Alligator mississippiensis: one gene and its partners. The protein of the gene in region 4 purifies or fractionates together with the protein of the main gene of each other region. This does not show direct contact. Links are inferred from orthologs where the notes say so. Each region holds a gene or a part of one and is shown on either strand. Other genes may lie near its edges. The genes, in order: ATN1, HDAC1, HDAC2 and WDR5.

Region 1 (7,699 bases), on a different chromosome or scaffold from region 4:
ATTTGGGACTAAAATTAGGGGCTGGGGGCTAGGGGTTGGAGTGGGCTCCGCTGGCTCCAGGACACTGCTCCACTCCCCTGCTTCACCTCAGGGAGCAAGGAGGCATATGGCATCAGGGCTGGGGAGTGGAGCACTTCCCCAGAGCCAGCAGAGCCTGCACCAGCCCCCAGCCCCAGCCTCTATCCCTGCCTTGCCTCACCTCAGGGAGGAGCCACTGCCTGCCCTGAGTGAGGCTCTGCTGGCTCAGGGGAAGTGCTCCAGGGCTCTGTCAGCTCCGGGGAAGTGCTCCACTCCCCAGCCCTGATGCCACGTGGCTGCTTGCTCCCCGAGGCAAAGCGGGGGAATGGAGCAGTTCCCTGGAGTCTGTGCCAGGCTCCTGCCTCCGCCTCTGCCTCACCTCTTGGAGGAACTTACCATCATGTAAGTGTCCCACGCTGCAGCCCAGCTCCTATCCCAGCGGGTGCACAGACTAAAAAGTTTGTGCGCGGCCAGCCTTTTACTTGTGCGTGGTCGCGTACGCGCACCTTAGAGGGAACCTTACTTGCAAGCCTATTGAGGTTGGCCTGGATCACAAACCTATCCTCAAGTTTGGAGACTCTTCCCCAAAGTTTGGTGTTGTCAGCTAACTTGGCCAGTCTGCTTTTGCACCAGTGTCCAGATCATTTATAAATACATTAAAGAGTACAGGTCCAAGAACAGAGCCTTGGGGGACGCCACTCGTCACTGAGTGCCATGTTGATTCAGTTCCATTAACTACCACTCTCTGGGTCCGACCTTGGAGCCAGTTCTCCAGCCATCAGATTGTGGAGTAGTCGAGGCTGCAGTTGCCCATTTTTTCCATGAGGACATCATGGAACACCGGGTCAAAGGCTTTTTTGAAGTCCAAATATATGACATCAACCTCTTCCCTCTGCCAGTCAGTACACCTGCCCCCATTCTCGCAAGCAACAGTTCACTAAAATTCCTTGGGCACTCGGCTGGGGGGCTTGAATGGGGCCATAAGTGGGCAGGGGGAGGCATCCGGGAGCAGGATGGGTGGGCAGCCAGGGCCAGGACTGGGATTGTGGGATGGTGACTGCATGGGGCCAGGGCCCTGGGCAGACCTATGATCCACTACTGACGTCCTTGCAATGGGCACTGGTTCCAGGCAGGGGCATGTAGGGAGTGGATCGTGGCTCTGTCCCCAGCTCCAGCCCCGCACTGTCACTGGCTAGTGGTCCCAAGGTCTCTATGGAGACCAGCCGGGACCTGTGTGGGCAGGGCAAATGTCTAGACAGACAGGATGAGGCCACCTGTGGGCAGGAAGAAGCATCCGGGGCTGGGATCTTGGATGGTGATAACTTGGCACCAGAGCCAGGGGCAGAGCTATGATCTGCTCCCCACAAGTCCCTGCCCACAGAACCTACACTCGTCATGGGGCCGTGTGGGCAGCAGATTGCAGCTCTGCCCCAGCCCCATGCTGTCACTGCTTCACAATCCTGCCCCGTGATCTTGACCTCATCTGCCTGTCCTGCTCCCAAATACCATTTCCTGCCTGCCCGTGGCCCCATCCCATCCCATCCCATCCACCTGGCCTGCCTGCATGGGTCCTGCCCCCAGTGTTGGGTGCAGGGCAGATGGGCTGGGGTGCCAAGGCAGTGGGGCTGGGCCCAGTGGTGGTGGCAGCTGGAAGGAGCCACCGCCACTGGGGTTGCTGGGAAGTGAGTCCAACTACTGCACCGCTCCAGCCCTGCTGGGTTTCTGAACTGACTGCACATGCCACAGCCTGGGCTGTGCCCTGAGCCTGAGCTATGGGACCTGCCACAGGCTGGACAAAATCCCTTAGTGGGTCAGACAGATCCTACTCTCAACCTGTATTTTGCCCACCTCTGAGGTAAAGGATGGTCTCATGGAGAATTAGACTGTATTTTTACCTTTGCCATAGAGTTCTTATGCGATGTGGAGCAAGACACTTAATCCAGGTTTTCACTGGTGTCCCTAATGCTTGGAAGAAGATCATGAACTTTTGCCAATCTACCTCATTATCCTTCTTCAAAAACCTCATTAAATATGATGCCTACAAAAATTTGACAGTGGTTAGGCTGTTAGAGTTATGAGACTACTGCCTTTCTTTCTGTCCAATATCATCTCATTATTTCTGGCATTTCCTTTTGAATCTATCTATATCCCTCTAGGCAGGGATATTTCTTCTGTTCTGTATTTGTTCAGTACCTAATACACTGGGATCAAGGCCCATGAATGGGTCTTCTAGGTTCAACAGCTATACAAATGTATTCCTTATTTTCTGGGGCCTAACTTGAAAAAACACTTGGACTCTGATAAGTACAGGAGACAAGCATTCACAACCATGCTTTAGAATAGATAAATTAGAGGAGTGTTCTGAACAGATAACGTGCTATTAATTGCTAGTACTCTGAAAAGTCAGACCATTTCCAGTTGGTCACTCCAACTATATGGACACTTCTGACAATTTTAGTATTAATCGTTGAGCCTTAGTTCCCTGTATGTGAAATAGGGATAATGGTAGCTTACAGGAATATTAAAAAGATAAGTTCATTAACATTTGTAAAGCATCCAGATATTATGGTGATGAGCATCATTGAAAAACCCATGAGAAAAGTAATAATTCTGTGTTCATTGCAGGGTTTGGATGCCGTACAGTAAATAACGCTTGGAGCCACATAATGAATGATGAAGATAAAAATAAATATTGGCTATCCATTCAGTGAGTGCTGTTCAACCTGTGCACAGAAAGAAGCAGTAGTCCTGTGGAAAAAATAGAATGTGATAGTAAAATTAAAATCAGAATACATATGCATAAGGGTCCCAAATTAAAGTTGTACTGGCAACCTTAATTCTAGCACGTCCTAATTTTCAAGCACTTGACTTGACAATCTGGCATTCTTTGGGGTTTTCTAGTACAGTAAAATATCATTATAACGTTAGAAACATTATGGCACAGTTTGAGGCCTCTATACGTGCACTTAAGGAGCTATTAGGTGTTGCTGATAGGAACATCCTTATCTACTGAACTTAATCCAGCCAATGAAGGGTAACATGGTCTTGGTCACTTGCACTCTTTCTTGCTCAAGCTCTCTCTCCCTCCCTCTCTCTCTCTCTCACACCCACACACTCATGCATACCCACACACACACTGACCCACCCAAACACACGTATGTGCATGTGCACACCTACCCACCCAGACATGTGCGGATGTGCACACACCCACACCCACCATTTCCTTGTGTCAAGGACTGACATCTCCAGATGAAACCAATGGGAGCAGAATCAGATCCTTCTCTCTCTCTCACACAAAACAAACATCATTAGCCACTTCATTTAATTACAACCCTTTCTCTCCAAAATAGTTAGAGCATGTATTTTCAATAAAATTGAATTCTGGGGATTGTATAAAGAGGCCTTTTGAAGCAGAGGCATGAAAAGAAACACCTGATGAAACCCTAAGACTGAAAAATTCAGGGTCATTTTTAATGACGTATAACTCAAGCAGTCTTTTTGCTGAGATGAATTCAGCAGTCTCATAAACCTCCTTTGCATTGGGAATAAAGGTGGCAATTTTCAAATTGAAATAATTGGGAGGCTAAAGGAAGGCCTGGGTTGGAAGCTTACTGCAACCTTAACTCGGGAGAAGCTCCCCACTCCATAATAAATGGTGTTTTGAGGATGCCACCAATGTATTTTCACTCCTGTTCACTGTGTGGGTTTATCGTTTTGGACTGGAATCTTGTATTTTCTAAGGCATACAGCTCTTGGGCCTCGTTGCCAGCTGCATATATTTATCCGTTCTTTCTGCGTGTGCCTGCCTCTGCTCCTCTCCATCCCTCTCCTCCCCACAGTCTCAGGTACAAAGGCGCGGATTGGGTTACAGGCTTCTCCATTCTTGCAGGGCTGAGAGCCCTCTCTTGGCCTCCACACTATAGACTCTCCCTTTGTGCCGTTGCTTGGTAACTGGGAAAGGGGGATGGGACAGGCTCCAGGAGGGAAAGATGGAGAGGGGAGGGGGGTGAGCAATTGAAGTGTGTGCAGTTTGTGTAATCCTTCAGGCAGACTCTGAATGCTGATTAGATCCAGGCCGGTGAAAGCAAAGGCCAGGCATGGAGCTGTGGCCGGCCGGTTTGCACAGGCACCGCTGACCGGGCTGGGGGAGGATGCCGGCTCCAGGCACACCCTTGGCGCTGGGAGCGGCTGCTCAGCGGGTGGCGGTGCTGGAGAGCGGCCGGGAGGGCGCCAGGCTCCAGCCCCGACCCGGGCAAGACAGGGGCGGGCAAGTCTTGAGGCCGGAGGGGGGGCCTTGGCTTGTAGGGCGCCCTACAAGACCCCTCTCCCTCCCCCCGACTCAAGCCTGGCTTCAGACGGGATTAAAGGGGGCCGCCTCCCGTGGGCAGAGAAACAAGCTCTCAGACCCGCACCCTGTGGCCCTGGCGCTCCTAAGGTGCCGCCCGCCCGCCTGGCCCGGGGCTGGGGGTGCAGGCCGGGACTCCCGCTCCGGAGCGATCCAAGCCGGCTCTTCCCTCCCTTTCCTGATGCTGTTGCTCCCGGGTCTGTCTTGCCAAAAAAGCTCCAGGCTTCTCCCATTCCTTTGTACTGGGGCTTGGGTGGGAGGGGGCTTGCGGGGAGCCCGAGGAGTGGCACTGAGCCGGGGAGGGAGGCTGAGGGGCCCGGGGGCAGCAGCCGGGCCTCCACCCAGGGGCCCCGGGAAGGGGGGGCGCCGCGGGGCAGGTGAAGGCTCCCGCCGCCCCGCACTGCGTGTGCGTGTGTGTGCGCGCGTGATCGAGGGGGGGCAGCTGGGAGTGGGGCGCACCCCCTCGGCCCCAGGGGCGGGGGCTGTAGCGGGCCGGCCCCCCTGCACACACACGCACACGCACACGCCTCCCTGCCCCTTCCTCCCTCCCGCTGCCGCGCGGAGCGGCAGGATTCCTCCTCCTCCCCCGCTCCCCCGGCGGGCGCGGGGCGAGAGCCGCGGCGGACTGGGATGGCGGGCGGCGGGGCGCGGGCGGGCGCGGGGGCCGCGCGGCGCGGGGGCCGGGGCCGGGGCCGGGGCAGAGCCGCCGGCGCCTGAGCGCTGCTGCTGCCGCTCCTCCGCCGCCCCGGCCGGGCCCTGCGGCCGCTCCGCCACCCCCGGCGAGGACGGGCGCCTTCCCCTGCAGCCGACGGCTCCGCAGCGCCGGTGAGTCCGCGCCCGGGGCGAGGGGCGGGGGCGCGCGGGCAGCCCCCAGGGGGAGAGGGCGGCACTCCCTGCTCCCCCCGCAGCGGGGCCGGGGCTGGGGCCGGGCCCGAGCCGCGCCACAACAATGCTGGACAAGGAGCAGCAGCCCGGGCTGCCGCTGCCCGCGGACACCCTTGGGTCTCACTTCGCGGCGCTGCCTCTGCCCGCCCGGGCCGCTTGGGGAGAGGAGAGCGCAGCGCGGCGCCCCCCGGGCAGGACGGAGCTGCTGGCCCGGGCGCTGCCTCTCCGCACGCGCTTCAGGGCCCCCCCACCCATTCACTGCAGGGGGTGCCCCAGGGAAGAGACCCGGCCTGCAAGTGGGTTGTAGCCTGGCTTTCCTGGCCCCTTTGACCCGGCTTTTCTGGCTTCTCGGCTGGGCCGCTCATGTGTTGAGGGCTCGGCCTCTAGTCTTGTGCCTGCTGCCCCCATGGCTGGGGCCAGCCAGTTGGGTTTTGCAGGGAGCCCCCTGGGCTGTTAGCTGGGGATCCTCTTGGGCATGATCCCCTTTGGGCCACCTGCCCTTTTGTGCTCGGTGACTGTCACATTGCTACAATGCGACTCACTTGCTGGTTCTTGCATTAGCCCACCATCATTATTGTTTATCACTGAGGTGTATTTGATTGCCTTTTCTGGTGGCCATTGTGCCATCTCCGTGTTGACAGAGTTGCTATTGTGCTGGTCAATGAGCCGTGGTAGAGATCATCCTCAAATCGAAGGACTGCCGAGGACGACGTTTTGGCCAACCTCTTAGCATTATTTGCTTTTTTTTCCTTTGTGCTCTGGCTCCCTTGGCTGTTAGTTGCCCTACTGTTACTCTGATTGCCCCATGCTTCGTGGCCAGTAGGGCTCCTCTGCCCTTTTCTGGTTCTTCTGGAACACTGAGTCCTTACACAGCTTCAGTATCTCTGGCCCCAGTTGTACTGGGAGGATTGCCTGAGATTTGATGTGCCTCCTGAAACTGAAGGAGAGGGCAAAGACGACAGGGACCTATGGAGAGGGGAGAAAATGGCGAGTAATGTGGTTTGCATGTATGTGCATTCAGAGGGGTGTGCGCTCAGTGTTGGCCTGAACAGTGGAGTACTGTGTGAAGAATTGAGATGCTTCATGAGTGATGTATTTCACATTAGATACCAGGTTGAAGCGTTAATCTGTTGTGATTGTTAAAGTTCCCATCACTTTCTGCAGGAGTTGGGGTGCTAACCTCAGTGCTCCCACCTCAGTGCTCTCTATGGTAGCTTGGTTCTGCCTGCCGAAACCGCCCCATAGTTGTTGTGAGATTCAGTGCTCTCTTTCACTCCCTGCCCTTTACCATTGTGCAGCATTGCTGTATGACTGTTAAAGAACTAAATGCCCTGTACCCCAGAGGTAGACAAATTTAAATAAGCAGATGAAGTCACTCCTACAAAATCCTGACTGACATCAGGGGGGAGGTTGTGAACAGGAGCTGGTCAAATGATTTGTTGGGATTAATTTATCTGAGAAATATCACTCTTTTCTCCTTGGACTGTGTCATTATTTTCACATATGTTACTTATGATTATGTAACAAATCATCTGTGAGAATAAATGTTGGCCAATGGTTGCTAATGAGCTGCTTGAAAGGAGAATTTGCGCCATGTGGTGAGACCTCTAAGTCACAGATGATGGTTTCTGTTTCCTGATTGGAGGATCTGGTCTTCCTAGGCAGGAAGACCTCTTTTCTCTTTGTGGTCTTGGGGAAATTGTTCGAATTCTTGACTGAGCTTTTCAGTATGGCTCTGAAGGAACCATAAAGCTCGCTGGTAACAATACATCTCACCCAATCATTTGCAAATTTAATGTCTCATGAATCCTAATGAAGGGGTTCAATGGGTTTAATCTGTTCTAGTATTTTTCCTCCTCAGGCTTTGCTCCCCTCAGGCAAATTCAGTGGGCCCTTTTATCCCCACCTTATGGCTTGTCTACACAGGAATACCAGTATAGCTCCCTGTTTGGGCACTTTTATTCCTGAATACCAGGGATCAAAAAGGAATGAATGCAATATGACTATAGCTGCATTCCTATACAGGTATAATTACATCAATACATTTTCTCCTGTAGAACAGCGCTTACCTGAGCTTCACTGAGCCAGATAAGTTTGGCTCTTCTGATCTCTTCTGAGGGTTCAGTCCCTGTAGCCCCTTGTGTCTTTCTTTAATTCTTCACTGAGTTCCCTAGAGTTTGTTGTCATCTTTCTGGATTGTGGGTTGTAGAGCTAAGCACAGTATTCCACGTGAGGTCTCCCCACAGCTCTATAAGGAGAAATGACCTTCTTCCATCTTTGGGTCAGAGGAACCCAGATCAGAGTGCAGTATTCAAAGAGCTGTAGAGGGAGGGCTTGTCTCTTCTTTGAACTGAGACAATAATGGACAGACTCCTGTGTCACTGCACATGCCCACACAGCAGTTACCTGACCATGGATTTGCTATATTTGGCATTTATAGTTTGCAGTCCT
Region 2 (7,200 bases), on a different chromosome or scaffold from region 4:
ATAGACAAAGAATGACACAATCTCCACTGGAGATTAACATGATTTGGAGTGAAACTGCAGTTCTCATTGCTTACAACAGAATCTTGTATGGAGGCAACAGCACCCATGTTAAAGGTAGGGTTAATTTTAAATATAAAAAAGGCTTAAAGGTAACCAGAGAAAAAGCTAAAGAGTCTCCCTAGGGAATATTTGTGAAGCCCCAATCTAACTGCTAAACGAACAGGAGCCCAGGAGAAAACAGCCACTTGTTACAGTTATGCCCTGGGCTCTCAATTAAATACAGAAGACCGATTGTAAATGCTTTGAATTGAGGATCGTATCTTGAGGTTTTTACTTTGCTAAACAAAATTAAGTTACCAGATTTCCCTTTTACAGCAGTGGACATATCTGCCGTTTCAAGGATTTGTTTAAAGAGGAACTAAACATGGAAAATTCTAGGGTGTGACTTTAAAGCACAGTAGCTATTCCTCACTATCAGCCTTAAATAAGAGGTCTAGTTTACATTACAAAGTTCTGCAAGCAAAAATGTAAGCACTTTCACACCAAGTCTCCCTTGTGATGGCACAATTTCTCCCTTTTGCTTGCACTTACTCCACCTCTGCCAAGGAATAAGACTTCTGCTTCCACCTGGCAGCAAGCTGAAGGCCTATGTAGACAATCCAGCACCTTCTGCCAGCTGCGTAGTTTTTGCCTTGCCAGGGTGTGCTTGCACTCTCTCTGGTGGCAGGGCTGCAGAGTGGAGCTGCAAAGAGCCACAGAAGCACATCTGTGTGCACAGGCTTTCATGGTTGCCACTGTTATCTGCTGCCAGAACATGAGGTGGCCTACTTGGGCAAGGCCAGTGCATGCATGCACGCAGTAAAAAAAAAAAAAAAATGGCTACTGCAATTTAAATTCACCCCAAGATTATTCCACACTAGCTCCCCTGTGTGGAAGAGCCCTAAAATAAGATGGACTTGAAGCATGTTCAATTGCATGTTAACTGACAATAAAAAGGAATGTTTTTACCACAAGGTAACTACTGATAGTTAATTATCCAGTTTTACCAGGAGGTAAACTAGCAACATCAAATACAGTTGTCACTTAGCTACCTCGTGTGCAAACAACTAGCACGCATTAGTTATCTTGCTGGGGAGCAGGGAAGAAACACACATACTGCAGAAGGGCCTCCTAGTTCCTCACTTAATAATCAAAGAGGCTCATGCACTGATGACCAATTATATGTTTCTAAACACAAAAGGATCTCCAGACACAGACATTTTCATGCAATATCTGAATTACTTAAGTAGGTGAAGTGTTTCCTCAAGTGCAAGGAACATAAACCAGCATTTCCAGGGACCCTGAAGTTTTCATCCGAGTTTCAGCACTGGGAGCTCACCAATATTCTGATTTAATATCAAACGTGCACAGACAGAGCTGCTCAGAGCGATGGAAAGTAGAATGACGGGGTGAGGAAATCAGAATCGCATCACTGCAAATGACCTATGGTCCATGCACAGCACCAAGACGGGCATGGGGAGAACCCTGTGCAGAACACCCCTCAAGTAAAAACTATTTGTTATATATTGATGGTGGGCCTATGCCCACCAGAAACTAACAGCCCCCCTTCAATGACTAGAGCAAGGCCAATGGGACAAAAACCATGAGAAAACAGCAACGGGGTGCAGGGTGTAGGTTAATAACTAGGGTGCCGAGGGACGTCAGGCAATGGGACGCTGTGCAAAAGTCAAAGGCATGGATCTCCTGACAACATCAGCAGTTAGTACTGGAAGTTACTACACCAGAGTGATGAAAATTCCCCAATAGATACTGAATGAATTTATTTAGACAACCAAGTCTGGATGATGACTGAAAACATCCTCTGGCCCCAAAGCAAACCAAACGAGAACAGCTATTTTTAGCCAGCTTCCACTACTAAAAACATTATCATCTATAGGAGGACGACGTGATCCATTTTGTGCAGATCGATGCACCTCTCCCAAAACACCTCCCCCTGCTGGCAGACAGCCCGGCCATCCGTGCGGTAGCGAACGTGCACAGCAGAGCGACTGCAATCCCTCCCTTTGCAAGCGCAGCGGGAAAGAGCCAACTGCCTCGGTCAGCCCATTACCTGGGCAAGGCCCACGGGATGCCCAGAGCAGCACAAAGCCTGGATCCCTGCACACACGCACTACATCTACAGTCCCGCCAAGTTTTGCCAGGCCTTAAATCACAAGCCGTGTCACAGCAGCTCCCCGGTGCGGAGGGAAAGGCTGTCTCGATGCATCCTTGCACACCCAGGAGTTGTGAAGAGCTTCACTTCCTCTTCCTGCGGCACCTTCCTCAGAGACCCGCAGGCCTCCATGGGGGCTGCTCCTTCGGACCCCCTCAGGGCTCCCTTCGCCCACACAGCTCCTCAGGGCCCCCCCAAGCCAGGCCCCCGCTGGGGCCCTCCTCAGTGCCCCTGCCCCCATTACCAGGTGCCCTCAACACCACCCCCCTGCAGCCAGGCACCCCCTAGGATGTTCCTCAGTGCCCCCCTTAGCCAGGCACCCCACAGGGCACGGCTCAGTGTCGTCCCCCCCTCAGCCAGGTGTCACCAGAGCCCTCCTCGATGCTCCCCCATGCAGGCAGGCGCCCCCTAGGGGCCACCTCAGCGCCCCTCCCCCCACCAACCAGGCCCCCCCTCCCCTCAGCGCCCCTCCCCCCACCAACCAGGCCCCCCCTCCCCTCAGCGCCCCTCCCCCCCAGCCAGGGGCCCCTCCTCGGTGCCCCTCCCCCCCAGCAGCCAAGGGGCGCCCCTCCCCCCCACCATCCAGGGAGCACCCTCCGTGCCCCCCAGGGCAGCCCCCTGCAGCCCCTCCTCCTGCTGCCCCCCGCCCCGTGCACCCCGCTCGCTCACCATCATAGTAATAACAGACTTTCCGCTTGGTCCCCTGCGTCAGCGCCATTTTCCTGCCTCCCGACAGCGACAGACCCTTCGCGACTCAACCGAACCTGCCCCAGGGGCCAAGGCACCCCACAACCCACCTCCCCCCGCCCCCGCGGGACAGCCGACCTATCGGGGAGGGGCTTTAGCCCTGTGCTCTCGAGACGACCAATCAGAAGGTAGGGAAGGAGGAGCCAGGGGGCAGCATGGTAGGTAGGCAGCGAGGTTTCCTGGACTGTACCATTCAGAGAGCAAACGCCGTGGAAGGAACGGGCTGGCAGGACTGTACCAATCCCGGAGAAGGGGGGTGGACGGTTCTCTTAGGAGAGGGTCTGGGTACATCGGGATGTACCATTCTACAAGAATGGCGAAGGGGGGTCAGATAGGAGTGTACCATGCCCATGGTAGAGGCAGTCAAAGCAGACAGGACTGAACCAGTTGACCCCTGCCTCCATGGCGTGCTCTTTGCCTGCACAGGCATCCCTTGTTACTGCTTTCCCACAATGCACTGCTGCACATCTGGCCTGGCCAGACAGCCCTGTGCCTAGGGGTCTCTGGTTACCAGGGGGTGGGTGCCACAGTGCATTGTGGGAAAGCATTGCTGCACATCTGGCCTGGCCAGACAGCCCTGTGCCTAGGGGTCTCTGGTTACCAGGGGGTGAGTACAGCAGTGCATTGTGGGAAAGCACTGGGGGGGGCCCCTGGCTCCAGCTGTGTGCTTGGGAGCAATGTGTTGAACTGGTGCCAAACAAGTCAGCCATTTTGTGGTATCTCACTTCCTGGTGTGCCCAGTGCTGCCCCACGTCCCACGCCACCCTTCAGGTGCTGGCTGCACCCCTCAGCCCCTGCCACGGGCTGAATACTCCCTTGGATCCCACCTGCCCAAGCACCCTCACTTCCACTTAGCATCAATGGCTCCCTGGCTGCAGGGCCAGCCTTGCAAACTCCCTGCCTGCCCCATGAGTCGCACCAGCTCCCTGGGATGCCAGCATTGCCCGTCTGCAAATCCTAATCCTGCCGGTTCCCCTCAGCCATCCCGCCAGGTGTCACGTCTCTTGTGAAACATGAAGGGTTGCTGTGCTTAGGGTCCGATTCTGATGTGCTGAGACAACCCCTGCCCTACACTTACACAAGAGACTCAGGATCCTGGAGACTCAGACCCCAAGTAGGTTTGCTGTTGCATGATGCCCGAGCAGCAGAAGGCAGGGCCAGCTGGTCCACCACCTTTTACTCGGCATGACAGGACCCCACCCTCAGCTCTGTGCACCCCCAGCGTGTGATTAGGATGTGTTGATCTTCCTTGCCACGGATCGGATGGAGCCACATGATTACTTTGTTGTTTAATGAAAGTAAAACAGCAATACAGGACAGGGCTTTACAATGAAATGGAGAAAGAAAAATCTTACAGTGAAGATGGCTCATTCCTAAAGCAAAATTCTGGGTGGGTTTCTGGTGAGCAAGCCTTTAGTGAGACTATGCTGAAACCCTTCCTTGATGGGCCTACCTAGAGCCTCACACTCCCACCCCCACTGGTCTGGTGCCAATTCTGAGAGGGTCCAGTTCTGGATCTAACGGTGTTGTTCAAATCCATCTGTAAGTATATTATAAAATGCCAGTGTCTGGGCTTTGGGGTAACCAAAGCAGTCTTGCTGGTTGGAGCAGAGTCCTGTGCATCTCTGCTTCTCACTGGGTGAGACCATATACAGACATTGCACTTTTACCAGTCGAAGTGATTAGAAACCAGCCTATACCCATAACAGAAGTTCGACACACATAGACTGGTTTAAAACTGGCGGGCCCCAGTCTAAGATTTGCCCTCCCCCCACATCAAAAAGGGAACGTGTTCTGTTCGCTACTGACCTAACCTACGCCGCTTACTGAAAACCACGCAACTTAGGTCGCTCCCGCTTCAGGTTTTTTGAAAGTCTGTATCTAGCCTGATCTTCTGAGCTGCAATCAGCATTTTTTCTTCCTGACTGTAAACTCCTTTCTCCCTTTCATAACATGGTTGAATCTGATAACTACTTTACCAAACTCTCTAAAAGGTTGTTGGTGTGAACGGCGCTAGTCAGAGTCCAGCAGTGTGGTTTCAGAGTGAAGAAAGATGTCAGCAATGCAGAGAATGACTGCTTTGGTGACCCTGGGACCAACAGACATGGACAGTGGTGTCCTATACACCATCTTCCAGGGATCTGAGCTCTCATGTGAAGAGGTTTTGCCCCTGTTGCATTGCACAATGGGCCCTGTGTCCTTCTACAGTACCTGTGGTGAGTGCAGCTATTTGCATGCCTTGATCACAGCCCCAGCCTTGGACAGCTTCCAGTCACACAGCTGGCACATCCATGCAAAACACCTTAGCATTGATGTACCATCCATCTCCACTACAGAAAGGAATAAAAAACCACCAAAGAAATATTGCAGGGGGAACTTGGGGGTGGAAGGGACATGGGGAGTTCCACTTTGTAGCCCTTTGAGCATCTCTTTGTGGAAAATCAGTGCTGAGATGGGGTCCAGCTGATCCAGTGCAATTGTTGTTGTATTCTGAGCATTATCTGAGACTGTAAGTGAGCTGGTTCCCTATGTTATTTTCAGATCAAATTTGTGATTATAGTTGCTGAAGAGAAGTTTATAAGACTTGACAGTGCCTCTTGCTAGGAGTACACTCTCTGTATAGCATGGGTGTGTCGAGGCCCGCAGGAACGAATATGGTCTAGGCAGTGACCACCTGCGTGGCCGTGTATCTGTGTGGTTATCTGGACAGATGCATTGTGAGTGAACATAAGGCCAGTGTGCACATGGCACTGAGATGGGTAAAGTAGCACGTGCATACTTGCACAGGGAGTTCAGAAAGAGACCTAGCAGCATCTTGGGTCAAAACACTTGTCAGTTCAGTGCCTCCGGTCTGCTCTGAGGCAAGGTCTGCTGGCTGAGCGTGCTCCAGGAACACGCGTCTTTGCTATGGACGGAGGGATTGCTGAGGTCCTGCCAGCGTTTGCTGTGATCCAAATGCCAAGGCCCGATCTGCATAAAGTTTCTGAGGAGCTAATGCATAGGGGCTGTTCCCCTCCGCCCATCCTGACACGAGGATGCCTCCAGCCCCATCCTGTCATGGCTGCTGCTGGTACTGGCCCTCGGTGGCAGTAAAGAAGTCCTCGAGCACACTCTTCATGTATTCAAAGGTGGGGCGGTCCTCTGGCCTCTCCTTCCAGCATTTCTTCATCAGTTCGTACAGCTCCTCTGGGCAGTTATCTGGCTGAGGCATTCGGTAGCCCCGCTCCAAATTCTGTATCACTTCTGGGTTCGTCATCCCTGCACATACAACACACATAACAGTCAGAAACAGCCAGGGAAGGGAGCCACTTCCATATACCGGTGCTGACCTCTGCTGGGAGTAGAGGAGCATCGGCCGGCTCCTGCAGCCAGCCACCCTGCAGTGCCTTCTGCCGAGTCTGAAACCAGGGTAACTCTCGGCCCTTGCAACCACCCCCGTGTCGTAGAGCACCTTCTGCTGGTCAGTGTGGGGGCATGGAGGTACACCCAGCCCCTGTCAGCTCCAATGTCTTTTTGATCTGACTGCAGGCACAGGCTGCACTGCTGTGAAAAATCCTAACCTGGATAGGGGATCCGGCCATAGGTGATGATCTCTGTGAGGAGGATCCCAAAGGACCAGACGTCAGATTTGATGGTGAATGTACCATAATTAATAGCTTCGGGTGCCGTCCACTTAATGGGGAATTTGGCTCCTGAAAATACACAAGGAGAAAGAGGGACGGGGGATAGGAGAAGGAAGAAGGTCACTGCTGTTGCCCTAAACCCACAAAGCTGATGTGCGGGCTTGAACGTCACCTGCATATCCCTTTGCGCCCTGCCCTCACTGAAACTCCCTTGGCGTGGTGCACCCACAGCCCTGGCATGTCTTGCCATCACTGGGCTCTTAATGATGCCTATTCCTGAGATAGCCACCAGATAGGGCTCTAGTCTCAGACTGATGTGGATTACTGGGCAGGCTTCCTGCAACTAATGCCAAGCACAGCATCCCCTCTGCTCCAGAGAATGTATTAGAAATGTCTCTAGCTGCTGCTTTCACAGGTCTGAGGGGGCCTCCGTTTCTCCTAGCCCCAGCCCTAGCTATTCCTTTCACTAATTTCTATGTCCCTTTCTGCAAAAAGCAGCAGTCCCACTGTCACGTGCCCCACCTCAAAGTCCCTCCTGCCCCATGCTAGGGGAAGCTGTCTTTCCCTCACTCCTTCAGGGATGCCCTCTTAGGCCTGGGTTACCTCTGTACCTAGCAC
Region 3 (7,413 bases), on a different chromosome or scaffold from region 4:
GTGGCAGGGACCTCCACAGGTCATCTAGTCCAGTGGTTCTCAACCCTTTCTGTACCAGGATCCATTTGTAAATGTTGATGAAGTGTCTTAATCCAGTGCCCCTCACTTCCGACCTGCTGCCCCCACCCCAGGCCCTAGTCCCCCAGTGTGGGGTGGGGGAAGGATGTGAGACATGGGGATCCCAAGCAGCCCCTGGCAGCCTGGAACTCTGCCAGCCTACAAGGGAAAAGCCATGTTTCCCATGTTTTTCTCCTTTAAAGGAGAATCCGTTTCTAAAATTTGTTCATGACCCTTTCATATATTCTTGCAACCTACTTTTGGGTCACAACCCACAGGTTGAAAATGCTGATCTAGTCCAATCCCCTGCTTGAGGCAGGATCAGCCCTATCTAAACCATAACCTAAACTCTACAGAAGCCTACCATCTTCTCAATTCCCTATTGGCCAGGACGATGCCTCTAAAACCAAATAGCTACTTTCCCCACACTTCTGTGCAAGCCCCTTATAGCAATACAGCTTCGTATTCACTGCGGGGGGGACACTACTTTGATTGGTGCAGTTGCATGTGATGTATACGTGTGCTGATCCTTGGTTGTGCTGATCCAGGGGTGTCAAGCTCATCCAGCCCAACAGGCCAGCTGAGTGGCTCGGGGCCCAGTCCAACCAGCCTGTCTCGGAGAGGCCAGAGTGGGTGCCTGCTCCGGAGTCACGGTGCACATGGCAGCTGCTCTGAGACGTGTGCTGGAGCGGGCACCACGAGTGGCACAGCCCTGGAGTGGCAGGAGTGGGCAGCTGCCCCTGGGTCCACGCCGAGACCCACGGGAAGCACCCGAGGGTGGGATGCCAGCACAGTTTGAATTATGGGGGAGGTTGGGGGCTGGGGGGCGTTGAGTGTCTTTGTAAGATTTGAAAATCATAACTTGTAAGCATCTCCAGGTACCATGATGGGCAGCCCAATTTTTGCAGCCCCCCTCCCAGAAGTAGCATTGCCAACTCTTGACTAAAGCTGTTCTGGAAGATTACCCCTCCCCACAATGTGACATAGCATCATTACTTTTATTTTCTGAAAATCTCTCAGATTGCTTTCAACAGTCAAGGAGAGATCAGGCCAATACGGGAGGGTTAGTGACCCTACCCAAGGGTACTTCGTACCCCAGATGTACAGCTGGACCCGGCCCCCGGGCTCTCTTCGAGGCTGCATGGTGGCATGTAGGAAGAACTGAAACGCAGGGCGGTGGGTGGCCGCCCCCGGGAGACACGCTGCGTGGGCCCCCCATCATTGCCAGGGGGAGACGAGGCTCAGGGCCTGGTGGGTCCAGCCTGGCCGCCCCCTTCACCTGCCTCTGCCCGCCCCGTCGCCTCCAGCCGCCCCTGGGAGCAGGGCGGGTAGACCCCCCGCGAGGGGACCAAGGGGGACCCGCTCCGCCCTTCCCCAGCGTGCGCGGGAGGGGGCGGAGCCACGTGCCGTTACCGCCCCTCCCTCCAGCCACGTGACGCAGGCCAGAGGCAATAGAGGGCCTCGCGCCTGCGCTTCAACCCCCCCCCCCATTAGGGAGGGGGTGGGGCAGGGCGCGGGCTGTACCACTGCGTGCCGCCCTGGGGGGGAGGGCAGGGAAGGCGGAGCTCTGCGCCGAGTTCACAAGTGACGGCGGCGCTTCGCTCTTTCCCTGACTCTCTCTCGCGTCCCCCTTTCCCCCCTCTCAAGTCTCCTCATGCGTTAACGGGAGTGGGGGAGTGACAAGGAAACGCCTTTCCACGCATCCCCCCCGGCGGGTGCAGAGTGGGCACTCCCCCTCCCCCCCTCCCGCGTGCCGCGCGCTGGATGGTCGGGTCGCTGCGCTGCCCCCGGCCCCGGTGTCGCCGCTTCCTCCCGCTCCCGCCCGTCCGCGCGCCGACGCTTCCGTCCCCCCTCCTCCTCCTCCTCCCGGCCTCGCGGCGGCAGCCCCATGGCGTACAGTCAGGGCGGCGGCAAGAAGAAAGTCTGCTACTACTACGACGGTGAGCGGGGGGGAGGGAGCTGAGCAGTGCCCCCCCCCCGCCCTGCCCCACATAGGCGCGTCCGGGGGGAGGGGCTCGAGCTGCTGCCGCGCTTCACTGCTTCACGGGGGGGTGAAACCGCGGGTGTCTGTGCGTGTCTGCGTGTACGCGGGGGGTGGGCGTGTGTGCACGTTTGTATGTGAGAGTGCAGGCGTGCTAGTCTGCGTGGGGGGTGAGAGAGTATGTGTCCGTGCGTAGTTGTGTGTGTGCAAGGTGGGCGAGGGAGGGAAAGCATCGTGTGTGTGTGCAAGGGGGGTTGGGTGCCAGTGCATCTAGGCATATTCGTGCATGCGTGTCTCACATCTGTGTGAGAAGGATATGTATTTGTGTGCATGTGTGTAAGGTGTGTTTGCATATGGGTATCTATGTATGTGCCTGCGAGTGCTTGGGGGGGGCGGGTAGGGGGTGAGGTATCCAGGTTGTAGCCGTATTGGTGTAGAAGCAAAAGGAATCAAAACTCATGACAAAGGTGATATCTTTTATTAGACCAACTAGATATTTGCAAAAATGGGTGGGGGGCTGAGAGCACGGGTGTCTGTGCACAGTGTGTTTGTGAAGCGTGTCCGAATGCTTGCACATGTGTATTTCTGTGTGTGTCTCCACCAGCCGGGTTTTCACCTAGCTAACAGCAGCAGCTGGTTTGATTGGCCCTAGCCAATCACTTTTATTTTTCCCTCTCCCCATCAAACCTCCCAGCCCTCTGAAGCTCGTTGTCCTGTATGAAGGACCACATTATCAGGGTTTAACTTTGTCTTTGGCACAGCTAATTAGACTCAACTGCTGTTTTAGGTTCATGTAAAGGAATGAGGTTGTCTTGGTGCAGTGAGCCCCCAGTATCCCACCTTAGACCAGACAACTGATTTTTAGCCCCCGACCACTGCAGGAAGAGGTGCGAGGCAGGCCAGAGGCAGGGACACACTGGCAAGCGCCACCGCCCTCCCTTTAGTTGTATCCTAGATGCCTCAAGACAGAGCCCCAGGGTCTTGGGCTCCCAGAGGCAGGTCCTAGCTAGCCATGGGCTAGACCCCTAGGCAGCCCCAGTCACAAGTGTGTGCTCCGCTCTCTACTTTTACTTGTCTCACTATCCTAGAAACACAGTGCCAAAACCCTTCACATATCCTGCCAAGTAGCATCTGCATCTGCTCCGGGTGAAACGCCAAATGGCCTATGAAACTGGCTGGCAGGAGTGGTACTGGCAGGGTGCATGCTCAGGCCAGGGAGATGGGGGTGTCGGTGTGTTCAGAGAGCAACGCCTCCTGATCCATTTGATCAGCAATGCCAAAGCTATGATCTCAAATTTATATCTAATTTCATGTTTGCATCAGTTCCTCCATCTTTGGTTCAAGCCATAGAAAGAGAGGGGGGGACGTTTCCCTACAGCTAAACTTTTATTGGTCAGATCAGCTGCAAATGATTTGCTTATGTCTAATTTTCCACCAGAAACAATCTCAGAGAAGCTGGGAGTGGCTGTTGGGGATGGGCCACTATTCTGGTGTTTGCAGTAGTGCTGGGGACGTTGAGCCTGCTTTGCGATTCTTATTTTTTAGTCAGCTACTGTTTAGGGTTTTAAGAGCCTTGGCTTTAGCGCAAGGTGATGCCAAATGCGTGCTGGTGTGGCAGATATGTCTGCCGCTATTCAGAAATGGCAGATCTGGTGGGGCCTCTTCAGGGTTTCTAACATGCTAAGTGAGGCTGAGTGGTGGTTGCCGCCCCCTTCTCTTTGTTGCTTGCTCTGGTTCTTTGTTCAGCATAAGGGGGGAAAGAGGCCACTGTTAGGGAGAATTTTGTTGAAGCTAGGGTACGACTTCCCTGGAAAAAGAGTAAATGGTGTTCTATCTTGGCAAAAAGATATTTCAGAAGTGCTCTGTATGCTGTATTTGTATATCTGCAGCTAATTTAATAGAATTGTTTGCAAAATATGTTGGGAAAGCAAAGTTTGCTTGATAAAACTAGGTACCCTTTTGCTAGAGCAGTGGTTCTCAAACCTGTTAGCCTCTGGGCACCCCTCAGGAAATACCAGCTCTTAGCTTTCCCTTGTTTTGGGACAATGGAAAAAATAATAGAGGAATTATTTTTGTTGCAAATAACTCAAGTCCAAATGGTTTGGACGCTTATGGATTCCAGTTTTAAATCTCTGGGTTTATCTTGTGAATTGTGTAGGTGTTTGCATATGTAATAGCGGTGTTATTGCATGGAATCCTTAAAATGATCTCATAGTACCCATGGTTAAGAATTATTATGCTCGAGTGGAATATTTCTGGCATTATAGTAGTGTAACAATTGCAAGCACTGTTGCTTGAATCCCTACATAGTAGATAAACTTATCTTGGTGAGACTTTAAAAAAGTGCTAGAGTAAGGAACAATTTTGCACTGGCAGGATGCTGAACTATGATCCCGTTGATCTTTGCTACTTCTGATTTACATGAAAATACACATTTGCTTGGTGAGTCCATGGACTTTTTTTACGTGGCTGTTTTGTCTTGCTTATTTCATATTTAATTGGCTCTGTATGGTCATCTTTCTCTATGATGATTGCTCTTCCTAAATCTTTCTAAACTATAATGTTTTGAAAGATGCAAGTTGCTAAAAAAACAATTGTTGAAAGATTTTTTTGGTTGATTAACTTGTATGTATAGACAGGAATGAATAGAAGTCATAGGCTAGAGTGAGTATAATTTAAAACTGGACAAATGTGTTCCTTCTATAATTGAGCTGTCTTAGAAAAATTGCTTATTTTGCAGTAGGGAACTGAAAAGTATTAGAACATTTCTAATAGCTGGTTTGTTAGCACCAGATCTAATAAAAGACATAAGTGCCCATAAGCTAGGCCTTTTAAATGTCTGGAAACTTGACTTTTTGGGTGTCTGGAAAGTGGAATCTGAAGTCCAGGATTAAGACCTTAGTCTCTTTTATACAGTATGTAAGGTTAAGGTACCTTGGGAGAGCAAGTGAAAAACCCTGCTGCTGAGTAAGATGCCACTTAGGGTTAGTCTGAATGAAATGCTAAGTTCATACGTGTCTGAATGTGTCTTTCTCTCTGAGTTTAAATTACAACCATGGCTCCAAGGTTGCCTCTGTTTACTCAGGAATCAGAGCTTTGAACATGTTCCTGGATAGGTGCTTATAAAAATTCAAGGAACTGAGGGGAGCTCAAGCTGCTCATGATGTGGCTGATGGAAGTGATGATGATGGTGCTGCTGCCCTGCTGTTACAGAATAGCCGACTTGTTAGGGCATTCACCTAGGAAGTTGGAAACCTGCGTTATGTATCCTTCAGCCCAAGTGGGTCAGACATCTCCTGCTACCTAATGGGCTGCCCTAACTACTAGGCTAGAGGGCTTCTTTTGAAGCTGGGCCATTACACAGAAAGCAATGCAATATTCATAGAGCCAGGAGAGAACGCTAGAGGGAATGTCATTTCATAGCAGTGGGTCTCAACTTTTTTTTTTTGTTAGATTCGAGCAACCTTTCCGTAACTTTTGTTTTAATGTGGTGGCACCTTAGTTGAGAACCACAGTTCTGTTGTGCCTCAGTTTACCTCAGTGGTTCTCAACCAGAGTGCTGATGCCACCATAGCCAGGTGGAGCTTCCTGGTATGCCTTGAGTAGAGCCAGGTCAGGGAGGGCTATGACAGGAATGCACACTCCTGCCTGCACTAGGTTTACCCAATACGTCTAAAGCAGGCAGGAGTGTCTGTCTACTCTTGTCCCAGTACTTCCTGGTCCTCCTTCCCCTGCCACTCCTGCTGGAAACAGGTGGCTAAGATGGTTCCAGCAAGGATCAGACCAGGAAGGGCTATAGCAGGACAAGGCACCTCTGCATAGGTTTATCACATAATCCTAATACAGGTGGGGGCACATGCTTGTGCCGCAGCCCATTCTAATCTGGCCATGCCCAAATCATACAAGGCAGTTCCACTTGGCTGAAGTGGTAGCAGTTCCTCTACCACATCATCCCAGTTGAGAACCTCTGCTCTTATCTCCTAATAGGTTAGGCTGTCACCTGAGAGGAAGGAGTCTTGAGTCCTTGGTCTCAGCATTATTTCTCTCTCTCCTTTAGTCCAGTGACTTTTTTAAGTGACATGTATAAAAAGTCATGGAAGAGAGAGGAGGAGAAGGTAGCATTTCCTTCTGGGCTACCCTACCTCCTAGGGCAGAGTCCTGCTCCCTCTTGTTTGCTTTCCTGATGCAGTGAATTTGGTGATCTTTGCTGCTGAGTGGTTCAGTTTTAATTGGTCATATGAAAGAAGCCCACACCCAGCCTAGTATATATCCTGGTGTTTCGGGCCCTGATCTGGGTGGTGGGAGGTGTGGATTTGAATCCCCTCAGACGTGAGGGCCTGTATCCCTGATCTGCTATTTTCTGTTCTCTTTTAACCTCTCGTTTTTTGTATAATAATTTGGTGATCCTGCCCTCTTTTCTCGTGTTGCCACGTTTTTCATGGAAAGTGAAGGTGGCCATTGTGTTTTGTGCTGAATGCAGTTCTGTTAGTGTTTCTGAACCTGCTTGCTCAAGCTTCTTTGAGGACTTAAATGTCAGTCTGTCTAGTTTTTGAGTCTCAATGAGGCATATAAGACCTAGGTGTCTGGCTGCTCAGGGCAGGGCAGTTTTGGTCACAGAAGCACCATTGCAAGTATCTAGTGAATTTTCTGATCAAAAAAAGGGAGGTAGCCCATGATTTCTGATACCTTCATGGTTAGGTGGCCACTGAGAAGGAGGGTGTTTTTTTTTATTGCAGTTTTTGGACCAGATGCACTGAGTCCTGTTTTGGGTATCCTCACTCCAAAAGGAATTAATCTGGCCTCTAGTATTTATTTGTATAATGCCAAATGACAGCAGTTATTTCAGATTTCCTTCTAAAAGATATTGGTCAAAATTGCTTTCTTAGAAATCAAAGCAGTTCTGTATCTTTTGGCTAGTTAATTTAAATGGCCAAATAATGCATAGATCTTAATAACGTTTTTTAGCCGTAGGGAAAGTTTAACTGTTTTGGGAGGAGAGAGGAGATGCCCAGAAGCTTAAGTAACCAAAAATTAATAGTATAAAAATACCCTAAACTATAGCAGATAAATTAGTAACTATCTCTTGGTGCATGGCATGCAAACACAATTAGTTTTTATTTATGAGAATCTTTTATGGCTGCATGGAAGTTTCTGTATAGAAGTAAACTCTTCTTTTTTTAGTTTTATTTTCTATTTTCACTTTGCTTCCCTGGAAATAAGCAGCAGCAGAGTAAAGAATGTACATCAGAAAATCCACAATAAAAGGGGTGCCTTCATAAGTGCTATAGTTTAATGTGGCGTATTTTGAGTTTTAAGACTAAATCTTAGTTGATATCTACTGGTGTGTCTAAAACTCTTCCTGCTTGAGACTGGAC
Region 4 (7,535 bases):
ATCGTTTAGGGGGAAAACATCATTGTGTTTGTCACCGGGGATTAAATCGTGTACGTCCAGCCCCAAACGCTCAGCTTCGTCGCCACCTGAACTCTCTCTTTCATACAGCAGCAGATATCAACTTCCAAATCCATAAGTCGCTGTCCGGTTTTATCTCCCAATGTGCGGATTCCTCCTATTCCTTTGCAAAGTTTGCAGCTTTCGATGAAGCGCTGCGCTGTCTGTTGAGCGCCGCCTTCGCGCAGGACCTGGCTGCCCAAAATGCTCATCATGCAGAGCGTTGTTTCGAAGCGTCCGTCTCCAGATCTCAGCCCGTTCAGCGTGACCTGCGCTTCTCTGTCAAAGCCGGGCCCAGTGCGGGACTCCTTTGGCATCGGTATAAGAGGACTAGGTCTGGTGCTTCCCAGCGGTTGACCCATATGTTTGGTGTAGCATCCCCAAACTCTTCCAGGAGCTTGTGGGCTTCATGCATAAATGATTTATGACTTTTAAGCCTCCTCTATATGGGTTTTTAGTTAACAGTTGATGAGGCAGGTGGTTTTCATTTGAAACAAGCCGTCAGGGAGACACTGAAGATAATTGCTAAAGAAGGCCAGAGTGGGCTGTAGGACGCCAACACAGTCGCCAGATGCAAACGGGACCCAGTTGAGCAACGGTTTGGACTGGGCAGGCGCATTTTGCACGCCTGGTTACAGTCATGGGAACAGGTCTGGAGACTCCTGGCCTCCTATCGATGCACAGGCCAGATCCAGCAAGGCCCAGAGCAGCACGTGCACGGCCCCACAGCTTGCCACAAGGCTGGGTCCGGTGAGGGCTGTCCTCCCTGGGCTCGGCGGCTTCCCCTGTTCTGCTTAGGCCAGGCCCGTGCCAGGCGCCAGCTGGGGAAGATGTATCCTCAGGACGCAGGCGGGCCGGGCCAAGCCCTGCACAAGCCCGGAGATGGGAGTGCGGACGCGCGGTTGTGCGGCGCGAACTGTGTAATGGGTTTTTAGTGTGGTTTGAGCTGCCAAGTGAACCACACGGGTCACATGGCAGTGTTGGAGGTGGGGGTTATATCTATCTGTCTATCTATCTATCTGTCTATCGATAGATACATCTCTATCAATAGCTATATATCTATATCTATCTATCTAAATATCTATTGGTATCTATTCATAGGTATATATTTATCTATCGATACCTATCTATCTATGCATATCTACATATATCACCATATTCATAGGTATATATTTATCTATCTATCTATCTAAGTATATCTCTATATATCTATCACTAACTATTCATAGGTATATATTTATATATCTATATCTATCTATGCATATCTCTATCTATCACTATTCATAAGTATATATTTATCTATCTATATCTATCTATCTATCTATGCATATCTACATATATCACCATATTCATAGGTATATATTTATCTATCTATATCTATCCATCTATGCATATCTATATCTATCACTATCTGTTCATCGGTATATATTTATCTATCGATCTATATCTAGATAGGTCGGTCTAGATAGATATTTATATCTATCTATAAAAATACATATTTTTGCAAAAAGTCAAGTAAACCCCCCTGCCCAGCCCCAGTGGGAGCCACATTCCTGCCCCACAGGCCCCTGAGGGGCTCATGGGGGAGCCCGGCTGCCCTCTATGAGAGCACTTCTGGGGCTGACACTCCCCGCCTCCCCTGCGAGGGGAAGGGAGGAGAAGGAGTGAAAAAAAAAGCAAAAAAAAAAAAAAAGGGGGCGCCTGTCTCTTTAAGGCGTTGCCGGCGCGCTTGCCTTTTCTGTCCCTTTCCCCGCGCCGTCCGCGGCCGGCAGCGAGCGGCATTGTGCGGCCCCCCGCGCTCCGCACTGCGCAGGCGCCGCCTCCCCTTCCCCTCCCCCGCCTGGCGGCCGCGAGAGCCGCCGCGCCCCCCCCGGCCCCGCGCCCCCCCCTCCCCCACCGGTGAGTGTCGTGTGTGCCCCCCCTCCCCCCCTTCGCGTGTCTCCCGTCCCGCCGCCGCCCGCGGGGGCGGGGGAAGAGCCCGGGCCCGGGGAGGGAGGCGGCGTGTCCTCGTGGGAGCCGCCGTCCGGGCGGTTGGGGGGCCTGTTTTGACCCTTTGACTCCCGCCCTTCCCCCGTCGGGTTGGGGGGTGTTGTAGTTCCCCCCGCAGGGAGCGCCGGCGGCTCCGGGGGGCCGGGCCCACGTGCGGCACACGGCACCTGGGTCGGACACCCCCCCCCCCCCCGTGCGACCCATCAGCACGTCTGTTACCCGCTGTGTCGTGAGACACACACGTGCGTGTGTCTGTGTGCGTGTGGCGGGGGGGCTGGAGGTTGGGCTGAAAAATTAATGTGCTGGGGGGGACTGGTGGAGGTATGGTTTTGCACTGGGGGGATGGGAGCTGGTTTGGTTTTGTACTGGGGACCAGTGGAGGTGTGGTTTTGCACTGGGGGGACTGGTGGTGGTATAGTTTTTTACTGGGGAGATGGAGGTGGTATGGTTTTGTGCTGGGGGGACTGGAGGTGGTATGGTTTTGTGCTGGGGGGACTGGAGGTGGTATGGTTTTGCACTGGGGGGACTGGTGGAGGTATGGTTTTGCGCTGAGGGGACTGGTGGAGGGGTATGGTTTTGTACTGGGGAGACTGGAGGTGGTATGGTTTTGCACTGGGTAGGGACTGGTGGAGGTCTGGTTTTGCGCTGGGGGGACTGGTGGAGGTATGGTTTTGCGCTGGGGGGAATGGAGGTGGTATAGTTTTTTACTGGGGGGACTGGTGGAGGTCTGGTTTTGCGCTGGGGGGACTGGTGGAGGTCTGGTTTTGCGCTGGGGGGACTGGTGGAGGTCTGGTTTTGCGCTGGGGGGACTGGAGGAGGTATAGTTTTTTATTGGGGGGACTGGTGGAGGTATGGTTTTGCGCTGAGGGGACTGGTGGAGGTATAGTTTTTTATTGGGGGGACTGGTGGAGGTATGGTTTTGCGCTGGGGAGACTGGTGGAGGTATGGTTTTGTACTGGGGAGACTGGAGGTGGTATGGTTTTGCGCTGAGGGGACTGGTGGAGGTATGGTTTTGCACTGGGGAGACTGGAGGTGGTATGGTTTTGCACTGGGTAGGGACTGGTGGAGGTCTGGTTTTGCGCTGGGGGGACTGGAGGTGGTATGGTTTTGTACTGGGGGACTGGTGGAGGTATAGTTTTGTACTGGGGAGACTGGAGGTGGTTTGGTTTTGCGCTGGGGGGAATGGAGGTGGTATAGTTTTTTACTGGGGAGACTGGTGGAGGTCTGGTTTTGCGCTGGAGGGACTGGAGGAGGTATAGTTTTGGGCTGGGCGGGGACTGGAGGAGGGAGGCATGGTTTTAAATCGACAACGCAAGCTGTTCAAGTTCGGGCACCGCTGGTCCGCAAGGGTCCGATTGACACGCTCCCGTAACGGATGCCGTTTTCATCCAAGAATGGGTCCCCCGTCCCTTTTTGACCCGTGTGTGCTGAGCAGAAATGCCCAAAGCCAGTCGATCCTCGTGAGCGCACCCAGCGTGGATGCAGAAGTAGGTTTAGACATGGTACGTAGGGAGCCTTGAGGCTGGAAAGGTCGAGTGTCGCTGCCCTGGGCGGTGAACGAAGCAAATGGAGCTTGTTGTCGTCCTGCAGAGGAGTTCAGGTCCCCAGCAATGTCCGGGGTGGTTTCTTGCCTCCTCTGATGCAACAAAACCCTCGTGTCTGCCGGTGCTTCTTGTCCTGTTGCTGATACAGGCGTGAGAAATAACCCTTTCCCCACCACCGCAACCCCTGTCATCCAAATGATACAGTCCAAAAAAGCCATCCCAGGCACTCTTGTCCTTGTGCGGTGTAGACCCCATCTTCAGGAGGTGTCGTGTTTACGACCTCCCCTTTTGCCAGGGCGGGGCTGGCCGACCTGTGACGAGCGGCGTGGGGCTAGGCAATGTGATGGCAGGGAGCAGAAAGCCGAGCAGCAGGTCAGACAGAGTTGCACAGGGTGGGGAGCAGAAAGCGAAGCAGCGGATGAATCGGAGGAAGAGGATTATAGTGGCATTTGGGGAGGGTGTGGGGCTGGTTTCCTAAAAGGTTGGACACCACTGTGCTACCGATTTAGCAGTCCCGGTGTAAATGCAGCAGTCGGTTTCACGGATCAGTGATACAAAGAAAAAGAATACGTTTCTGCAGCTGGGGAAAAAAAGAGCGTCAACACCATCCGGGTAGCACAAGGCTTGATGGATCAGTTTCCTTTATGAGAAGGGAAGTAGGGCGTGCTGTTGTATGCTGTACAAATGTATGGGCATGAAGGCATAAACACCCTGTTGCGTTGGTGCGCATTTGTTTGTCTCCGTCTGCAGCATTCGTCTCTCGGATACTAGTTGGAATCGTAAGATGCTCTTTGCATCGGTTTTCCTGGGGGTGGGGATTACGGTCATTATGCGCTCGTGAATGATGCTTTTCTAGGTGCTGAAACAGTGTTCTTTTGTGGTTAACGGTAGTGTTGAATTTTCTCCTAGGTTTGAGATCCCAGTTCTGTTCTCCTGTCAGTGGGAAAGGCTCCCTTTTGAAGCAGCACATTCATTCATCCCTTCAAGCACCATAGGTCTGACTTGCCAGCTTCAGAACCATGGCAACAGAAGAAAAGAAACCAGACGCAGAATCCACCAAAACACAGTCGACTCCTTCCTCTTCAACCAATCAGAGCAAGGTGTGTGTAGGTCTCTGAACAATATCCTGAGTCTGTAAATACACATGGGAGCTACCTATGGTTTTTTTTTTTTTACAAGCAAACTGGGATGAGGGATTTTAAGGAAAAGTTGAATTCTGAAGGAATTCCTCGGGAATTTTTCTGGGTTTGTATAGGGCCAAGAACATGCTGAAGGCTTTGGGGGCAAGACTGACTATGAGATTCCTGGATTTACCCTGAAGAGCTATAATTTTGTTTTGTCCGTATAACGTAACCTCTGCCTTGCATCACTTGAGTCCATTATGGTATCCTGAATTTTTGCAAGCAGTGAGAAAATTAGAGAACATGTTACAGAGCATGCTTTATCGTTGCAAGTGTCATTTGACCTTAATTCAAACGCTTCAGGGAATTACATGTAGCATAGTATATCTTGTAATTGTTGTAAAATGGTAGTGAGAGAGACTTATGAGTAATGTCACAATCCTCTCTGAGAAATAAAGATGTCAGGATTTCTTGAAATACTTAATGGAGTTGCCAGCTATCCAACAGGGATCCAGAAGGCCCGTCAGATGTTTGGTTTCTGTAACTGCTTCTGCTGCTAGTGACAGTTAACACAATCATTGCAAGAGGTCTGTCATCCCAGTGTCTGGGTGTTTTTGCTGAAATGATCACCAGCCAAAAAGGTAACACTGGTATGTAAAGATGACTTGCCAAGGAGAAAAATGGCCTTGTGCTCCTCCTATCTTATGATCATAGAGTCCGAAGGTCTTCTGTACCCATGGAGGACTGTAAGGAGATTAGAAAACTGATCAATTTGTGATATTTCAATGGAAGGGGGATGGAAATAAATAAAAAAATCACCTGTATTCAGGCATGGAAAAATTTGATTGTTGTGGGAAGAGGATGTCCTCATTAAGGATTAACTCCCTTTTCCCTCCTCCATTCCTTCAAGGCGTGAAGCTTGCAGTGCCCATCTGAAATCCTGCTCTCTGAGGAGTCCTTCAGCAGCACTAGAAAAAGTCAGGTGTCTTGCTGAGGTTTAAGGAGATGCAAATGGTCACAACCCTAATTTTTAAAAGCGTTTGGCAGGTCACTTGTAAATCCTGTATGGAGTGTGGCTCAGCTCACGCTTGTGGGCCAACTTTCTGCCTGTGTGGCTGACTTGGATAGATTTGCATCTCAGATAAATTTAACTAGTTGTTTTGAGGATGTTTCTCTGTAGGTCCAGTAAAGCAGCGCTGAGCCAGATAATGTAAAAAATATGTTCCCCTGTAAATACAGGGCTACGCCTTTTTTTAATAGATAAATCCAGACCGCTGTCAGTGATCATGCTGTACATCCCTGTGTCCTGGCTTGTTAGATATCCCAGTTAGAACTGAAACATTGAATTAAGTATCTACTTGACTTATTTGAACAAATCTTTCTTGCAGCCTGCACCTGTAAAACCAAACTATGCTCTAAAGTTCACGTTAGCAGGACACACTAAGGCCGTCTCGTCAGTAAAGTTTAGTCCAAATGGAGAGTGGCTAGCCAGTTCCTGTAAGTATCAGTCTGTCTTAATGCTTTCCTGTTGTCTGAATTGGCCAAATGTGGATCTGGCATGTTAGACAGCTTGCTGACCGTATCTTAGTGCTACCATGATCAGAGGGAGGGAGAAAACAATCGTCTAGCTCTTTAAGCTGAGTAAATGACAAAACACGACCTGCTTAGTATTGCGTGTGTGTCATGGTGTATTATATCCTGGATTGCCTCTGCCCATTGCCAGACCAAAAGGGCTTGGGATGCTCCTCTTACACTGCTGCAGAAACACAGCCAGGATAACACACACAGATTGTGGATAAATGTGAAATTAACTGCAGTACAGAGAGGATCTCATCCAGCCCTCCCCGTTACTTAAGTTCCAGCTTATGCCTTTAAATTGGGCCTTGCTTGGCTTGATGCACATGCTGTCTGGCAGTGAATTTCACTGATCATTATTCTTTGTCTTCCTGTATTGGAACGGTAATAGGAAAGAGCCTTGGAGAGTCGAGTCATCTCCATTGCACTTTGTTACTTATAAGAGAGGAAGAGGCAAGAGGGACTTTGAAGGGAGGAATTTAGCGAGCTTTTGCCCAGAACTCTAAACCTAAGCAGTAGATCAAGTTCTCTTCGTGCCAGCCTTTGATAATGGTGAAATCTCTCTGGTAAACTTGCAAATGCCTGACAACTTCCCTCTGGAACAAAAGGTGCATGCCTGGGAAAGAGAGGAGAGGGGCAACTCGGAGGAATGCTGTTGAACACGCAGATGGCCACTGTAAGCCCCACACCCTCCAGAAATGGCAACGGTTCTGGTCTGTTACTTGATCGTGCTTGCCTTTATATGGGCAGCAAACTGCAAAGAAATTAATTTCTTACATTTTTTGTGATACCTTTTTAAAAAGGTCATTTCTCACTCCCACCCCAGACATTCCTCCTGCTTTAACATCTGGCAAATATCAAGCTTTTTCTCTGCTGTGGATCGCAAGCTAATGTGATGATGAATAGCGTGTTTTGTTTCTCACAGCTATTAGTCAGCCCAGTTTCTGGATTGGTTTTTGATCTTCCTGGGGCGTAAGCATTTCAGTGGCCCTTGTGGGGATGGTAGCTTTTTCTGATGAGCAGTGTAATTTTAAAAAAGCAGAAGCCAAAGTCTCCACTGGAGAAATTAGAACCGTTTGAGACCCTTTACATTGCAGTCACCGTGTCTGATCTTAGCTCCTGCAGTCTGGCATACGTGAAACTGTGTCATTAGCATTTACATTTTGCCTTCTGTACCGAAATCTGTGCTTGAGGGTAAAAACTATTTGGTGTCTCCAAACAACTATCCAATATGCTGCTTTCTGCTTAA

The links.
Region 1: the proteins of WDR5 (region 4) and ATN1 purify together in Homo sapiens (affinity purification with mass spectrometry; 4 studies listed by BioGRID and IntAct, counting the BioPlex papers as one, with this or other methods). This does not show direct contact. The link is inferred for Alligator mississippiensis from reciprocal best matches to the Homo sapiens genes WDR5 and ATN1.
Region 2: the proteins of WDR5 (region 4) and HDAC1 purify together in Homo sapiens (affinity purification with mass spectrometry; 8 studies listed by BioGRID and IntAct, counting the BioPlex papers as one, with this or other methods). This does not show direct contact. The link is inferred for Alligator mississippiensis from reciprocal best matches to the Homo sapiens genes WDR5 and HDAC1.
Region 3: the proteins of WDR5 (region 4) and HDAC2 purify together in Homo sapiens (affinity purification with mass spectrometry; 7 studies listed by BioGRID and IntAct, with this or other methods). This does not show direct contact. The link is inferred for Alligator mississippiensis from reciprocal best matches to the Homo sapiens genes WDR5 and HDAC2.

The regions. Positions count from the first base shown.
Region 1 is NC_081824.1:244,060,561-244,068,259, forward strand, and holds the start of ATN1 (atrophin-1), read left to right. Parts: upstream 1-4,699; 5' UTR 4,700-5,188; intron 5,189-7,699. UniProt on the Homo sapiens protein: Transcriptional corepressor. Recruits NR2E1 to repress transcription. Promotes vascular smooth cell (VSMC) migration and orientation. Corepressor of MTG8 transcriptional repression.
Region 2 is NC_081829.1:5,643,982-5,651,181, reverse strand, and holds the start of HDAC1 (histone deacetylase 1), read right to left. Parts: upstream 3,002-7,200; 5' UTR 2,931-3,001; coding exon 2,882-2,930; intron 1-2,881. Other genes in the region: tyrosine-protein kinase Lck, read right to left, coding at 6,015-6,217, 6,520-6,651. UniProt on the Homo sapiens protein: Histone deacetylase that catalyzes the deacetylation of lysine residues on the N-terminal part of the core histones (H2A, H2B, H3 and H4).
Region 3 is NC_081824.1:99,432,491-99,439,903, reverse strand, and holds the start of HDAC2 (histone deacetylase 2), read left to right. Parts: upstream 1-4,397; 5' UTR 4,398-4,425; coding exon 4,426-4,480; intron 4,481-7,413. UniProt on the Homo sapiens protein: Histone deacetylase that catalyzes the deacetylation of lysine residues on the N-terminal part of the core histones (H2A, H2B, H3 and H4).
Region 4 is NC_081835.1:61,654,241-61,661,775, forward strand, and holds the start of WDR5 (WD repeat-containing protein 5), read left to right. Parts: upstream 1-4,518; 5' UTR 4,519-4,609; coding exon 4,610-4,690; intron 4,691-6,099; coding exon 6,100-6,208; intron 6,209-7,535.